2 linked regions of the Notamacropus eugenii genome follow. The protein of the gene in region 1 binds, or shares a complex with, the protein of each later gene. Links are inferred from orthologs where the notes say so. Each region holds a gene or a part of one and is shown in the gene's direction. Other genes may lie near its edges.

Region 1 (6,918 bases):
AAGGGGGTTGTTAATGAGTTGGTAAGCAAGTAGGAAAGGTGGTTGTTTTCTTCAGTGGCCTGGAACCCACTGCTGGGGGTGTGTGTGTGTGTGTGTGTGTGTGTGTGTGTGTGTGTGTGTGTGTGTGTGTGTGTGTGTGTGTGTGTGTGTGTGTGTGTGTGTGTGTGTGTCTGTGTGTCTGTGTGTGTGTGTCTGTGTGTGTGTGTGTGTCTGTGTGTGTGTCTCTTTGTTTCCTTCTGAGACAGGTCTGGTGGTGCTGTGAAGATCCAAGGGCAGGTCGAAGGCCTTTACTTCCCATCCTCCAAGCTCTTTCCTCACCCACTTTCTGTCATCGACAGAAGCTCAAAGGAACTACTCCCTTCTCCAATTTAATTCTAATCAATTGTACCATGGAAAGAACACTGCCTCTGGAGTCAGGAGACCTGGATTCCACTTCTGCTTCTGATGCATGAGAGTGTTGGTTAAGGGGACCTTGGAGGTGTTCTGAATTATGATCCTATGAATCTTGAGGGCCTCAGTTTCCTTGTCTGTAAAATGAGAGTTGATGCATTTGGACTCTACATACAGGTTCATGTTCCTTCGTTCCCCTCCATTTTGACTTGGGGGCCTCTCCAGAAGGGAGAAAGCACCCACACCGTTTCTTTAGTCCTTTAAGGTTTCCAAAGGGCTCTCCAGGAAACTGGGACTCGTTTTATTTAGCTTTTGTTTCTTCAGCATCTAGAATTTGTTTTTTAACCAAACTTGTGATTTCACTGGCAGAGGGAACTTCCAGTGAGGAAAATCCCTTTACAAACACAGACCTGCACCTCCTCTACAACTTGTAGCCTCTGAGGGCACACAGTAGGCATTGACTAAGTGCTCATTGGGTTGGATCAGTGCCCAGTGCCCATTAGTGCCATATCAGATTTCCATGTTACAGAAGTCACACTGTATTGCTTCAGCCTGGAGCTGGATCACCTTGTCCAACCTTCTCCTGTTATTTTACAGGTAAAGAAATCAAAGGCCAGAGAAACAAGAGCCTTGTCCAAAGCCACACAGTTAGGTCACAAGGGACATCAAGGAGATGCCAGATCTAGACCTGGAAGAAGCAGATGGTTACCTGCTCTCTGGAGGGTTGTGAGAGCAGGAGCCTGCAATATCGCAGGTATCCTAAGAAGGGAAAACAGAATTGGACCTCAGAAACCTTCTAGTCCAACCCCTTCCTCTTACAAATGGGGAAACTGAGGCCCAGAGAAGTCATAAGACCCTACAGCTGGAAGACTCCTCAGAGGTTCAACATCCTTATCTTATAGACGAGGATACTGAGACTCAGGGATGTAGTGATAGACAGTGACAGAAGGATTTTAACCCAAAGAAGCACTATTTCCACTGTACCATACATGCAAATCACTTTATAAACTCTACAGGCATTATCTGTGGTACAGTGGAAAGATCTCTGGCTCTGCCCTCTGATTCTGAATCTGTGCTCTCCTGGTCCTGCTCAGGTCCTTTCCCTTGTTTGAGGGGCACCATCTGCTTGGTGGTAAGTGCTTTGATGATGGAGAGCAGCACATTTCCTCCTCTGTGTCGTCCGTATCTAGCATGGCACTGGGCACAGACCTTAATGACTATTGGTTGAATGGATTTAAGGAGTCCTATTGTCCTTTGGGTAGTGACATCACATTGGGATTAAAGGCTTCATAAATGCGATAATTGCTAGGGAAACCTCTCCAGTAAATCCATGTGCGGAGCTCACTTACTTGGCTTCTCCCTGACTCAGCTGCCTGCTTAAAAGAGCAACCTCAATGGGGATTGGGAGCACAGCTGAGCAGACACATCCGAATGACATCACTGGAGTGATGATAATATAATAGGTGAAGTTAGTGGAGTGGGAAAAACACCTCATTTAGTAATCAGAAGGTCTGAGTGCTAATTCCATGTTGTTGTTCAGTTGGGTTCAGTCCTGTCTGACTTTTTATGACCCCATTTGGGGTTTTCTTGGCAAAGCTACTGGAGTTGGTTTACCATTTCTTTCTCCAGTTCTTCTTACAAATGAGGAAACTGAGTCAAATGATTCTCCCAGAGTCACACAGCTAATAAGTATCTGAGGCCAGATTTGAACTCACAAGGATGAGTCTCCCTGACTCCAGGCCTGGTACTCTATCTACTGAGCCACCTAGCTGCTCTGTCTCTGCTAATTCCATCCCTGACATTTATTACCTGAGTGACCCTGGGCAAATCTCTTCAGCTCCCTGAGCCTCAGTTTCCTCTGTAAACTGAAGATGTTAGCCTAGAATCAAGGGTAGGGAACTTGCAGCCTCAAGGCCACCTGTGGCTCTCTAGGTCCTTGGGTGCAACCTTTTGACTGAATCAGTGTTTACAGAACAAATCCTTTTATGAAGGGAATTTGTGCTGTGAAGTTTGGATTACACTTGAGGTCCTCGAGGCTGCAGGTTCCCTACGCCTGGACTAGAGGGATGCTGAAGTTCCTTCCAGCTTTAGATTTCTGATCTTATAACAGTGGGCAAATCTCTCCCCCTACTCGAGCACTAAGGACTTGCTATAAATGGTGGTTTGTTGTTAGTAGTGGTTTGGCTTATCATAGCCATTGTTATTAGTAGTGGCTTGCAGCTTTACAATTTATAATGGCTGGGTTTTGTCCATTCTCGTCTGAAGGTCACCATAGACCTGGAGATAAGACAAACCAAGAATGATCTAGGGCATAGATTCTAAGGGCCCTGGTGACAGTGTATGACTAATCCAATGACCAGCCTTGCTAAGCGACAGTAGGATATAGTTGTTAGTCTCTGGGACTCTCAAGAACCATCTACCAGTCATAGAAAAGGTGCACTTGGCCCCAAATGAATCTGACCAGGTCACTCCCTAACTCCTTAAACTTCATTGGTTCGATCTTGCCTCCAGGATAAAAGAATGAAAGTCAAAGCATTTTTTAAGCCTGGTCTACATGCCAAGCACAGTGGTGGGCAAGGAGGGGAACTTTGGTCCTGAAAGTTACAGGGATGGGCTAGTGGAGTATAAAATACAAAAACCTTAGCCTGGCTTCCGATCCCCCTTTCCAGCTTTCTTTCACAGTATTCCCTTTGCCCACTCCAGGAGCATTACTATAGCTCTCATCTTATCCCTTTCATGCATGCACAGTCTATCCCTCTCCAGCCTGATAAGTGCTCCATCCTCAGCTTGGCCTGGTGACAACTTTTTCCCCAAAAGTCCAGCTCAGGACCACCTTGTCTAGGAAGGCTTCCTTGGTCCTAGTCCAACTGAAAGTTTCAGGGCTGCCCAAACCAAAGAAGCATTTTGTCTCCAACACACTAGATCTGTCCCAAAAGTTTGAGTGCAGCTTCTGCACTCGCTCTTTTTTTATGAGTTTAAACTGCACTAAGACTTTTAGGACATTCTGTACTATACTAATTCAAGTATATATTATTGCTTCCCCACAATTAGGCTTATTAACTCCCTCAGGGCAAAGACTGTTGCTGGTTTTCACTTTGGTAGGTCCAAGGCTTTGCACATCAGCAGTAAGTCCTGGGTAAATGTTAGTATAGTATTATCCTTATAGTATTAAGCAGTCATTAGAGGATCCTAGTTTTTAGAGCTGGGAGGGATCTTGAGGGGGAAATGGAGACTCAGCGAGGGAAAGAAGGCTTGGTTAGGGCCATCGGACCCCAGAGCTGGAGCTGGAGATCTCAGAGGCCAGCCCTTTCATTGTGCAGACGGGGAAACGGAGGCCCGAGAGGCCGTGTAAGGTGCAAGCCGCAGGGCTAGCCCTCGGACTCCAGGCTCCTCCACGTCCTGGTTACCGAACCCCCTGTCTCCGTGCGCGTGTTCAGCCTCCCACCTCGGGGGCCGCTCTCTGGCGTCAGGGAGGAGACCAGGCTGAGCTGGGGGGCGGAGGCCGGGAGGAGGGGGGTACTTGGCGGATCCTGGAGGAGGATGTTCCCGAGGCCAGCGAGGGGCTCCCGGGCCTGGGAGGGGGAGGGCTCGTGCCGGGCATCCTTAGGAGGGCGCAAAGGGTATTCCAGGAAGGAAGTTCTCGCCCGCCTCGAGGAGGAAGGGGGGCCCTTCGGCTTTATCAGGCCCTGGTGGGGACGTCGGGGGCTCCGTCCCTCGGGTGTCCGTGCAGGGGCGGCTCCTCTCTGCAGCGGGGAGCCCTCAGGGTAGGGTAGCCCCGGCGCGGTCGGTCTGGGGCCCCGGGGGATCCCTCGGGCACGTGCACCTCGGGAGTTGGGGGGGCCCCCGCGGGGCTGGAGGGAGGGAGCGGGGGAGGTCTGCGGTGCCTCTCCAGGGGGGATGCGGGGTGAGGGTGGGCCCCCGGTCCCCCCTGCCTCCTCCGCCCCCTGCCCCGCCCCGTGCGCCGAGCCGGGCCGGGCGGGGCGCGTGAGTAAGCGCCGGGCGGGGCGGGGCGGGGCCGGACAGGTCTGAGCAGGGCCGGGGGGAGGGGCAGGAGGAGGGGGAGGGGGAGGAGGAGGAGGAGCCCGAGCCGACAGAGAGCCCAGCCCTGGAGCCCGAGCCCGAGCGGCCGGAGCGGGGCTGCCGTGGGGTCCAGTCCGAGGAGGAGGCGGCGGCCGGGCCATGGCCGGGCCCCGGGCCGCGCTGCTGGCCTGGTGCCGTCAGCAGTGCCGCGGCTACCCCGGCGTGGAGATCCGGGACCTGAGCGGCTCCTTCCGGGACGGCCTGGCCTTCTGCGCCCTGCTGCACCGGCACCGGCCCGAGCTGCTGTGAGCGCGGGGGGATGGGGGCCGGGGAGCAGGAGGGGGGAGGGGGCAGTGCGCCCCCGCCTCGAGCCGGGGCCAGGCGGGCTGGGGACCCGGCCTGCGGGGCGGGGCTGCAGAGAGGCTCGTCAGTTTCGTTTGGTCCGGAGGCCGTGGGAACCGCGCGCGACCTCCCGGTGTGCGCCGAGCCGCGGGCCGGGGGGGGGGCGGCGACGGGGGCGCGGGACCCCTCCTGTGCCTTTGGGAGGGCGTGGGAGAGACTAGTGAGTGTGTGTAGTGTGCGAGCGTGAGTGTGTATGAGAGTGAGTGTGAGAGTGTGTGTGTGTGTGTGTGGTGACTGTGTGTGAGACTGTGGGAGTGTGACTGTGAGTGTGTGGGAGAGGGAGAGGTGCCGAGCCGCCCGTCAGGTTCCCGAAGCCTTGCTCAGATCCTCCGGCCGCTTCCCGAGGTCACTCTCCCCAGGTGGGTCAGCAGATGGGCTACCACCCGGAGGCAGGAGCAGCCCCAGCTCCAAGCAGGGGTTCGGAGATCTGGTCTAAACTCTGTATGTGCAGATGGGGCACCCAGGGCCCAAGGCAGAGGCTGCTGAGGCCAAACCCTGTGGGCCACAGATGGACTTAGTTTTAAAATCTAATGCTATCTACGTTTTATTGTAAATTTTTTTGGTTAAATATTTTCCAATTGGATTTTAATCTGACTTGGCTGCCCTCTGGAAGGTTGTAGGCAGTGTGTCCGACACCTCTGATGTAGAAGACAGAGTTTAAGATTTGGAGGAAGCCTCAGAGGCCACCCAGCATTTTACAGAGGGGGAAACTGAGGCCTGATGAGCCTGAATGGGTTCCTGAGGGTCCCAAGTGTCAGAAGTAGCGTTTGAACCCTGGGCGCTCTCGGAGGGAGTTGGGCTCCAGGGCTTCTGAAGGCCTTGCCAGCTGTGTGTAATTTTCTGTTTCCTTATCTGTAAAAATTCAAGGTTGGGTTAGATGCCTGGGAAGGCCTCTGAGCCTAAGACTGTGTTTAAAGTCACATGGCCCATTAGGGGCCAAACTGAGACCAGAACTCAGGTGCCCTGCTTGGTCCTTTGCACTGCCGATCAGGGTCTTAGAACCAGTCAATCTGGCACAGAGAAAGCACTTTGCTGGGGGGCCCAGGAACTCAGGGCCCTGCCATTAGCTTGCTGGGTGACATTGGGGAAGTCCCTTCCTCCTGTTCCTTAAGATTCTGAGATCAATAGCAGAGTTGGGCCAGAAAGGCTGACCCTTTGACCATCCTCATTCTCATGGACAAGGGCAAGAATCTGTGAGTGAATGAAGATAAAAATCCAGAATTCTGTGAGAGGAGGGAAGTCGTTTTATCTGGGCCTGTGTTTCTCCATCTGTAAAAGTGAGAGAGTTGGCCACTGAAGTCCTTTCCAACTCAATATCCTCAGATGCTGCTGATAAGCTTTCAGCTCCTGACCTGGACACCAGAGATACAAGGTGCCCAAGGGACCAAAGCATGGGAGTTAGGATCCAAACCCATGGCTTTCTTCTCACAGGTTTCCTCCTGCCTGAGGTCCCAGGAAGTATCAGAACCAGGTTGGCCCCTGGGATCTTCTGGTACTGTGCCAAGCCACACCAGGCTGTATGTCAGAGGTGCCAATGTGGATGCTCCCTGATGGTCTTCTGGCAGTAGGAGTCAGTGATTCTCTCTTGCCTTCCTTTCCCCCAGTGTCAAGTATCTAGTGTGAATGTGTGTATGTGAGTGTGTGTGTGTGTGTGTGTGTGTGTAAAAAGTTAGTTGGTTTCACAACATCTGGTTAAAGGGCACTTCTGTGCTCTGCTTCTACCAGGTGTATAGACCTCTTCTCCCTCCCTGGCTAGCCCTGGCATTCTTACCCCTGAACAAATGAACTGTTTGGGAAGGGGGAGGCTCCTCTGGGGTCTAGGCCCCTCCCACAGGGAGTGGTAGGCTGGGTCTGGGAGAGCCTTGAGTGAGACTTTGAAGGGCTGTGAAGGCCCCTGTCCTGCCCCTGTGGGTAAGGAGGAAATTTAGGCCAATATTGTCTTGGACAAAATAGTAAGGTGCAGTAAGGGGAGCAGATGAGAGCAGTCTGTGGGGCTCAAGGCTCCCTAGCACAGGGAGCTTGCTCTGGTTACAGACTGATGGGGGATCTAGCTGATGGAGAAATGTCTGTGTGCAGCCAGGTCTTGTATGGTGCGTGGCACATATG
Region 2 (7,948 bases), on another chromosome or scaffold:
AATCTTGTGTTCCTGGTTCTGCTGGATGCGCCCTGAATCAGTTCACAGAAATCTTTCTAAGCTTGTCTGCATTCATCACGTTTGTCATTTCTTATGCACAGTCCTGCCCTCCTACAGTCACACACCACAACTGGTTTGGCCATTTCCTGAATCAGTGGACCTTTGCTTTCACAAAAAGTATTTCTCTCAATATTATGGTGCCCATGGAGCCTTTCCTTTGGTCACTGACTAGCCCTGGAATTCCTGAATCAAAATAATGGATGTTTTAGTGAATTTCCCCCCACAATTCCTCCCAAACACTCACCGCCCCATCACCCTGTCCTCTTGGATGCTCACTACCCCATAGCCCTGGTTCTTCTACTTCTCTCCATCCATCTTCTGCGTCCTTCAGTGTTTGCTATTTCTAGCTCTGGGAGAAAGGAAGTTTCCAAAGCTCTGTTCCTGTCTCTTTCCATTTTTTTCCTTTGGAAGCTTCTTTCAATCCCCCAATCTCAGTCACAGCCTCTCCACAGATGGCTCCCAAATCTATACCTCTCTTCTGAGCTCCAAACTTGAGCATCTAAAATTCCATGATTGATTGGTTTTTAGGGGAACAGATGAAAGATGATTGCAACCTTTCAAGCCTGAGTGATAAGGAGCCTCGTGGTACCCTTCTCAGAAGTGGGATGAGGGAGAAGATGATGTATTTAAGTTTGAGAACTGTTGGCTGTAAACATGGGATGGGAGGATTGGGGTGATCTAGTCTGGGAAGTCACCCATGGGGAGGTGATAGCTGGAATGTCAGGTATGGGGAACTTCACTGGGGAAAAATATGTAAAAAGAGGAGAAAGTAGAAGTAGAGACAGGGACTGCCAGTACTCCCTGTGATGATTCAAAGGTGCTTTGGGTGGATGGACAGATGGCATGGACTTCAAACAAGGAGGAAAGACTTAAAACTGTGTCCTTCTTTATCCTTGGAGGCAGGATAATGAGCCTTACCTCGAGAGTACTGGAGTATGACCCCATCTGCAAGGAGCCAGCATTCCACTGGGATGAGAAGAGAGAAGAAAGAAGCTAAGGGAAGATAGATAAAGAGGAATTGGCCCAAGAATTTCTTAGGGGCCTTTGAATGGGGTCAGGAGAAGGAAAGACTAAAGGAAAGCAAGCTGGAGCTAGGATTGCCCTTGGTTGGGTTGGAATGAAAGAAGTTTGTTGATGGAGGAGCCTGGTGCATCACCCTGTCCTCCTGGGCGCTCTCTCTTCTTTAGGTCTTCTTGACATATTTCTCTCCTGGTTCTCTTGTTTCCTCTCTGAGAATCCCCTTTGCAGTCTCCTTTGCTAATTCTTTATTCTCTAACCATGCACAAGAGGCCCCACAGCTCTGTCCTGGGGCCTCCTTTCTCTTTATTCTCATTGGTTCCCATGGGTTCAACGACCATTTCTATGAAGACAATGCCCAGATTTCTATGTCTAGGCCTGACCTCTTTATGGGTCATGTGCCTCCAGTTGCATTCTGGATGTCTCAAATTCAACATGTTCAAATTAAAACTCATTTAGCTTCCCCCTGCACCCCGCCTTCCCCTTCTGAACTTCCTTATTATTATCAAAGGTACCGCCACCCTCCCCCAACTTCTCACACCTCCTCAAGCCACACATCCTATGTCTTGGCAAATTCTGTTATTTCTGCGCTCACAACATCTCCTTCCTCTGCTCATACAGCCACACCCCACGTTCAGGCCCTGGTCACCTCTCACCCAATCTTTTCAATATTCTCTTTATCCCTCTCTCCCATCTGTCTGAGCCCAGCTGATGAGCTGATTTTTGTCACTTGTAGCCTGAGCATGTCACCCCACCCCCTGCTCAATCCAGTGACCCCAGAAGGGAGATGGGGGGAAGTGGGGCCACTGGGAGGGAAAGAGAAGCCATAACCTCCAGGATCAATACCACCTCCTCTGACTGGACTTCAAAGCCTTTCATGACCCTTCCCCTTCCTATCTTCTTGCACCTTCTCCCTTCTATGTACTCTACTATCTAGCTATACTGGCCTTCTTGCTCTTCCTCTCATATGACCCTCCATCTCCCATCACCCTGCCTTTGCACTGGCTAAACCCCATGCCTGGAATGCCCTCCCTCCCCATCTTTGCCTTTTAGTTTCCTTGGCTTCTCTCCAGACTCAGCTCAGCAGAAGGCTCCTCCTAGTCCTCCCCCCAGTTGCTAATAACTGTCTTCCTCTTTCAGATGACCTTTCATTAATTCTGCATATTCCTTGAATGTACCTTGTTATTTACATGTTGTATCTCCCATTGCTTAAGGGCACAGGCTGCTTTTGGCCTTTAGCCTCAACTCTTAACAGGGTGACCGCCACATTCTGGAGTGGCTGTTAACTGACTGACTGACTAACTGTCTATAGGGGAAGGGAGAATATGTTATCCTTGAAACGCCTGTGTAGCATTCAGCTGATGACAACATCACCTACTCTGGGTCTGGTAGGGTGGAGCCTTGGTGGGCTTGCCTGAGACAGGCTTGGTGTGAACTTTCTCATAAGAGAGATGGGAAGTGGGAAAATCCCAGCAGGGTCTGAGCAGACAGAACCAAATGGAGGGCCAGCCAGGAAGGTACCTCAGAAACTCAAGGGCCTCTTGCTGTTGCCAGCAGGAACCTTTCTGCCGCTTCCAGGCTGAGTGGTACCAACTGGGCATGTTGGATCAGCTGCCATAGTCATCAGAGCTTCAGAGGCACAAGTCAGGAGATTAGCCAGCTTTCTTCCCTTGGACTGCTGAGCTCCAGCCCTGGCCTCTGTGGTTGGCGAAGCCTTGGAGAAGAGTTCTTGAAACCTGTTCTCCCTAATCTACTAGTTTCTTACCACCAATGAGGGAGTGTGAGAAATAACTTGAGAAAGCATGACCTAAATTCCCTAGAAGATTGGGAGGGTGTGTTGTGGCTTGATTCCTATCTGTTGTCATTTGTGGATTCCCTTTCAAGTCAATGGCCTTTTGAGTTACTGTTAGTGTGTCTACATTCTGACCCAGTCCCCTTTAACCAGGCCTGCTAGAAAATCCTTATGGGATTCTTGGGTACCTGGTAGGGTTTCTTCTTTCCTGCCCAGGATGAGCCCTCACTGGCTGTGTTCTTTCCATTTGTTAGGGGCCAGTGACTAGCACCCCAATTCAATTTAGCCATTTACACACAGCTAGGTGTCTGTTGGTGCAGTGGATAGAGTGCCAAGCCTACAGTCAGGAAGATCTCAGTTCAAATCTGGCCTCAGGCACTTACTAGCTGGGTAACCCTGGGCAAGTCATTTAACTCTGTTTGCCTCAGTTTTCTCATCTGTAAAATGAACTGAAGAAGGAATTGGCAAACCACTCCAGTATCTTTGCCAAGAGAACCCCCAAAAGAGTTCATGAAGAGTCAGACACAATTGAACAACACCAGTTTATTTCAAAGCTATAACAAGAACAAATGTTCAGACATTCCTCCTCATGCCTTTGGGATGTCTCTCTCCTACATCACCTTGGCCTCTGGAGAAGGCACAAAACTTAACTATGTTCCTTCATTGTTTTGGTCCCATAGTTCATGTCCAGATGTGGCACTCATCCCAGGAGAGTCCTTCTGCAGAGTCAGGGTCCCGAAGGTTTCTCTTTGGGACATTGAAGCTGCACTGGCTGCCAATCCCAGTCTGGGGTCCTACTTTGCAATTCCTGTGGCCCAGACCACTGTCCTATGTTCAGAAATCCCATTCCCTGGCCCTGGGACAGCAGAAAATGAACAACAACTTCAGATGGTCTCCACTGTTTCCTGATAGCACAGTCTCTCACCTAAGAGCTAACACAGCTCTCACAATGTGCCAAGCATTGTACCAAGCACTTGACCATTATTAACTCATTGATGCTCACAAGAGCCCTGGAAGAAAGATGATATTATTACCCTCATTTTACAGATGAGGAAACTGAGGCAGACAGGGTGAAGAGACTTGCCCAAGGTCACACTGCTAGTAAGTGTCTGAGGCCACATTTGAACACAGGTCTTCCTGATTCTAAGGCCAGCACCAATGTGAAATTTTTTTTTAAAGAGAGTGGAGGAAGATTGTGAAGGACTGCACTTCTTAGATAAGGGTATTTTTGCCTGCCATCTCCCGTGCCCAGAATCCTCGCTCTCCTCATCTCTTCTCCTAGATTCCTTTTTCATGTCCCCACCCCAAACCCCATCTTCCATAGGGAGCCTTTTCTTTCCTGGTCCCTCTCAACTCTAGAGCTTTCCTTCTGGTGATCATTTTCTGACTTAGGCTGCCTGGTACAGTTGTCTGCTGTTGTCTCCCCATCAGACTCTGAGGTCCTGGAGGGCAAGGCCTGTCTTTTGCTTTCTTTGCACCCCGAACACTTAGCACAGTGCTTGGCACATCGTAGGTATTTACTGAACACCTTACTTCTAGCACCTTGACTTTTGGTTCCTCATTTCCTTATTAATTTAATAAATGCTTATTGACTGATTTTAAATGCCAGACAGGTTGTATGTTATCCCAGAGGCCATAGGGAGTCACTGAGGTTTTCTGAGCAGGGGAGTAACCTGGTCAGCTTTTTTTTTTTTTTGTGGGGGTGAGCATTAGGAAAAATTTTTGAAGGGTGGACATTAGGAAGATGATTTTGGGTGGTGGGTATCAGGGAGATGATTTTGTAACATAAGCCTGTGATCATCTCAGTGATGAAGAAGAAAGAAGCAACTGGCCTCAAGTCTCCCTTAATTCAATATTTTTTCTCTGACCCATTTTCCCTCCTAGAATTAATGTGTCCCTTCCCATTCTCTCCCCTCCCAAGATCCTTGTCTCTTTCTTGAGTTAGTTGTTGTTCCTGCTATACCTGAGGCAAGGAACAGCCCCAGGAGTGGCTCCACACTCTCCCCTCCTTCTGTTTCCCCAGAGGAAGCCGCTGCCTGGCACCCCCTCTGTTGATCTAACAATCCCGGTTCCCAGGACTCTGACATCATACCTGGGGCTTCCACCTGGGCCCAACCCCCTGTTGCTGCCCACCCCAGAGGCAGTGGATGTGGGGCTATGCAATTCTGGGGATGGTGGTGGAATTATCAGCACAATGGAAGAGCCAGGAACCGGTAAGGGAGCTACTGGGTCAAGAGTCAAAGGGAGGACAAAGTGAGAACAGGCGCAAAAGCAGAAGTGGTTTAGATTTCCTTGGTCTTTTGGATTACCCAGGAAATTTGATTATTTCCCCAGACCTTTTCCCCTTCCCTCCCACACTGAGGAGGGGAATTTCCAAACCTAGTTCCTCAAAACTCAACAGGCTCCTTTCACACACAGGCACACTTTTCTTTCATTCATTCACTCACTCATGCACTCACCCAACACTTATTAAGCTCCTTCTTCGTGCAGAATCAGGTCAGTCTGTAATTCCCCTGCCCCTCTTGTTTCATTTTCTCTCCCAAATGTCTCAGACCTAGAGGATTCAAAAAAATCACCTGCCCATCCAGCTTGGCTTTCTCTGCTTTTCTGTCCTTCCTTCTCACTTTTCACAGTCTAACTCAACACCTGCTGTGTACCTCGCCTCCATTCCACTTGACTTCGCCTCCTTCTCTACTCCTCCTCTGCCCCCTTTCTTGACTCTTTCTCACCTGTCCCACCTTTTGGATATTATATCCTAGGAGAGGACATAGGGTAAAGATGGGGAGGGTGGGAGGAGGGACTGACGGACACAGAGGGAGAATCCAGAAGAGCCCCTGGGGCTCTTGGGTACTTTTGCATTTGGGGAATTTAGAGCTGGGAGATCATCCCCCCAACTCTGCCTCTCTCTAGAAGCAGCCCCGACCTCGGGGTGTCAGGCGGTGCCCTTGACTGGGCTAGCTCCTTGGACCCATGGTGGAGATGGAGGCTGTTACTGTTCCACCCCCCCCCCTTTCTTTTTTACTGACGAACAAACTGAGGCTGAGAAGTTAAGTGCCTGCGCAGGAGAGGGTCTGAACTCGGGTCTTCCTGACTCCAGGTCCTTTATTGTCTGTCCCACCTTGCGTTAGATGGGTGATCAGAGGCTGGAGGGGGAAAGACTGACCCAAGGTCACACGGGGGGGCATCAAGGGGCACTGTAGGTGTGACCTTGGCCAAGTCCTCTCCTCTCTCGGGGCTTTAGAATCCGGATCTGTCAGAGGGGGGCGCAGTGAGCCTCAGTTTCCCGAAGTGTAAACTGAGGGGCCAGAGCCCCTTCTTGGTCTGGTCTCATGTATGACTTTGGATAAGTCGTTTCCCTGTCCCGGGCCTCAGTTTCCCTAACTGTAAGGGGAGGGGGCTGGGGAGTGGCTGATAGGCAAGCGCAGGTCTAGGAGCGGACCTAGGACAGAGCCCAGGGTGGCTTGGGACACGTGATCCGAGAGTGGCACTCGGGGCAGCGGGGAGGTTGACAGGAGCCGAGTGGGCGGGGCGGAGGAAAACACAAAAAGCCCCGCCTCCGCGTCTCGATCTGGCCCTAGGGTCTTTTCCCTCTCCTGCGCACGCGCGGTCCTCAACCCCGCCCCCCCCTCCCCCAAGGAATAGGCGGTGGGGGTGGGGAGAAACGGCGCCCTTGCCTCGGTAGCCTCCTCGGCTACGAGCCAGCAGGCAACGTCGCGAGACTTGCCCCGGGCCAATGGGAGGCGGGGGAGGACGTGGCGCTGCGGCCCCTCGGCCGGGCGGGCGCGCGCGAAGGCCACGGGCGGCTTGGGCTCCGCCCCCGTTCCAGGCCGCCTATAAAAGAGGCGGCCGGAGGAGGCGCGCTCTCATTCGGCGGCGGGGGCGGGCCGGGTCGGGCGGTTGTGTGTGCGCCTGCGCGCTGCGGAGGGGGCGCGGTAGGGGCCAGAGCCGGGCCGCCGTCGCCGCCGCTCCTCCCTCTCCGCGGCCCGCCTCACGGGCCCGCTTCCCCGCGCAGCGTCGGCCGCCGGCCTCGTCACCATGTTCAGCTGGGTGAACAAGGATGCGCGGCGCAAGAAGGAGCCCGAGCTCTTCCAGACGGTGGCCGAGGGGCTGCGGCAGCTGTACGCGCAGAAGCTGCTGCCGCTGGAGGAGCACTACCGCTTCCACGACTTCCACTCGCCCGCGCTCGAGGACGCCGACTTCGACAACAAGCCCATGGTGCTGCTGGTGGGCCAGTACAGCACGGGCAAGACCACCTTCATCCGGCACCTCATCGAGCAGGACTTCCCCGGCATGCGCATCGGGCCCGAGCCCACCACCGACTCCTTCATCGCCGTCATGCACGGCGCCTCGGAGGGCGTGGTGCCGGGCAACGCGCTGGTGGTGGACCCGCGCCGGCCCTTCCGCAAGCTCAACGCCTTCGGCAACGCCTTCCTTAACCGGTGAGTGGGGGCCGGGAGGGAGGGCACCCCCTGTGGTGCCCTCGCCCGGGGCCAGGCTCCAGGGACCCCCCCAGAAGGGAGGGCGCCCCCCTCGTGTGCTCTCGCCCGGGGCCAGGCTCCAGGGACCCCCCCAGAAGGGAGGGCGCCCCCCTCGTGTGCCCTCGCCCGGGGCCAGGCTCCAGGGACCCCCCCCAGAAGGGAGGGCGCCCCCCTCGTGTGCCCTCGCCCGGGGCCAGGCTCCAGGGACCCCCCCAGAAGGGAGGGCGCCCCCCTCGTGTGCCCTCGCCTGGGGCCAGGCTCCAGGGACCCCCCCAGAAGGGAGGGCGCCCCCCTCGTGTGCTCTCGCCCGGGGCCAGGCTCCAGGGACCCCCCCAGAAGGGAGGGCGCCCCCCCCCCCCGTGTGCCCTCACCCAGGGCCAGGCTCCAGGGACCCCCCCACAGGAGGGAGGGCACCCCCCTCCGCGGGCGTGCGCCCCCCTCGTGTGCCCTCGCCCGGGGCCAGGCTCCAGGGACCCCCCCAGAAGGGAGGGCGCCCCCCCCCCCCGTGTGCCCTCACCCAGGGCCAGGCTCCAGGGACCCCCCCACAGGAGGGAGGGCACCCCCCTCCGCGGGCGTGCGCCCCCCTCGTGTGCCCTCGCCC

The links.
Region 2: the proteins of MICALL1 (region 1) and EHD1 are in contact, whole or in part, in an NMR structure (PDB 2KSP), measured with the Homo sapiens proteins. The link is inferred for Notamacropus eugenii from reciprocal best matches to the Homo sapiens genes MICALL1 and EHD1. Residues at the interface, in NP_203744.1 of Homo sapiens: Lys422, Tyr424, Asn425, Pro426, Phe427, Glu428, Glu429; in NP_001269373.1 of Homo sapiens: Gly464, Ala467, Lys468, Met471, Asn478, Leu481, Gly482, Trp485, Lys486, Lys492, Asp493, Gly494.

Annotation. Positions count from the first base shown.
Region 1 is NC_092874.1:295,400,695-295,407,612, forward strand, and holds the start of MICALL1 (MICAL-like protein 1), read left to right. Parts: upstream 1-3,918; 5' UTR 3,919-3,930; coding exon 3,931-4,154; intron 4,155-4,480; exon of another isoform or gene 4,481-4,569; coding exon of another isoform or gene 4,570-4,715; intron 4,716-6,918. UniProt on the Homo sapiens protein: Lipid-binding protein with higher affinity for phosphatidic acid, a lipid enriched in recycling endosome membranes. On endosome membranes, acts as a downstream effector of Rab proteins recruiting cytosolic proteins to regulate membrane tubulation.
Region 2 is NC_092873.1:17,647,722-17,655,669, reverse strand, and holds the start of EHD1 (EH domain-containing protein 1), read left to right. Parts: upstream 1-4,934; 5' UTR 4,935-5,063; coding exon 5,064-5,082; intron 5,083-5,328; exon of another isoform or gene 5,329-5,423; intron 5,424-6,881; coding exon 6,882-7,308; intron 7,309-7,948. UniProt on the Homo sapiens protein: ATP- and membrane-binding protein that controls membrane reorganization/tubulation upon ATP hydrolysis. In vitro causes vesiculation of endocytic membranes. Acts in early endocytic membrane fusion and membrane trafficking of recycling endosomes.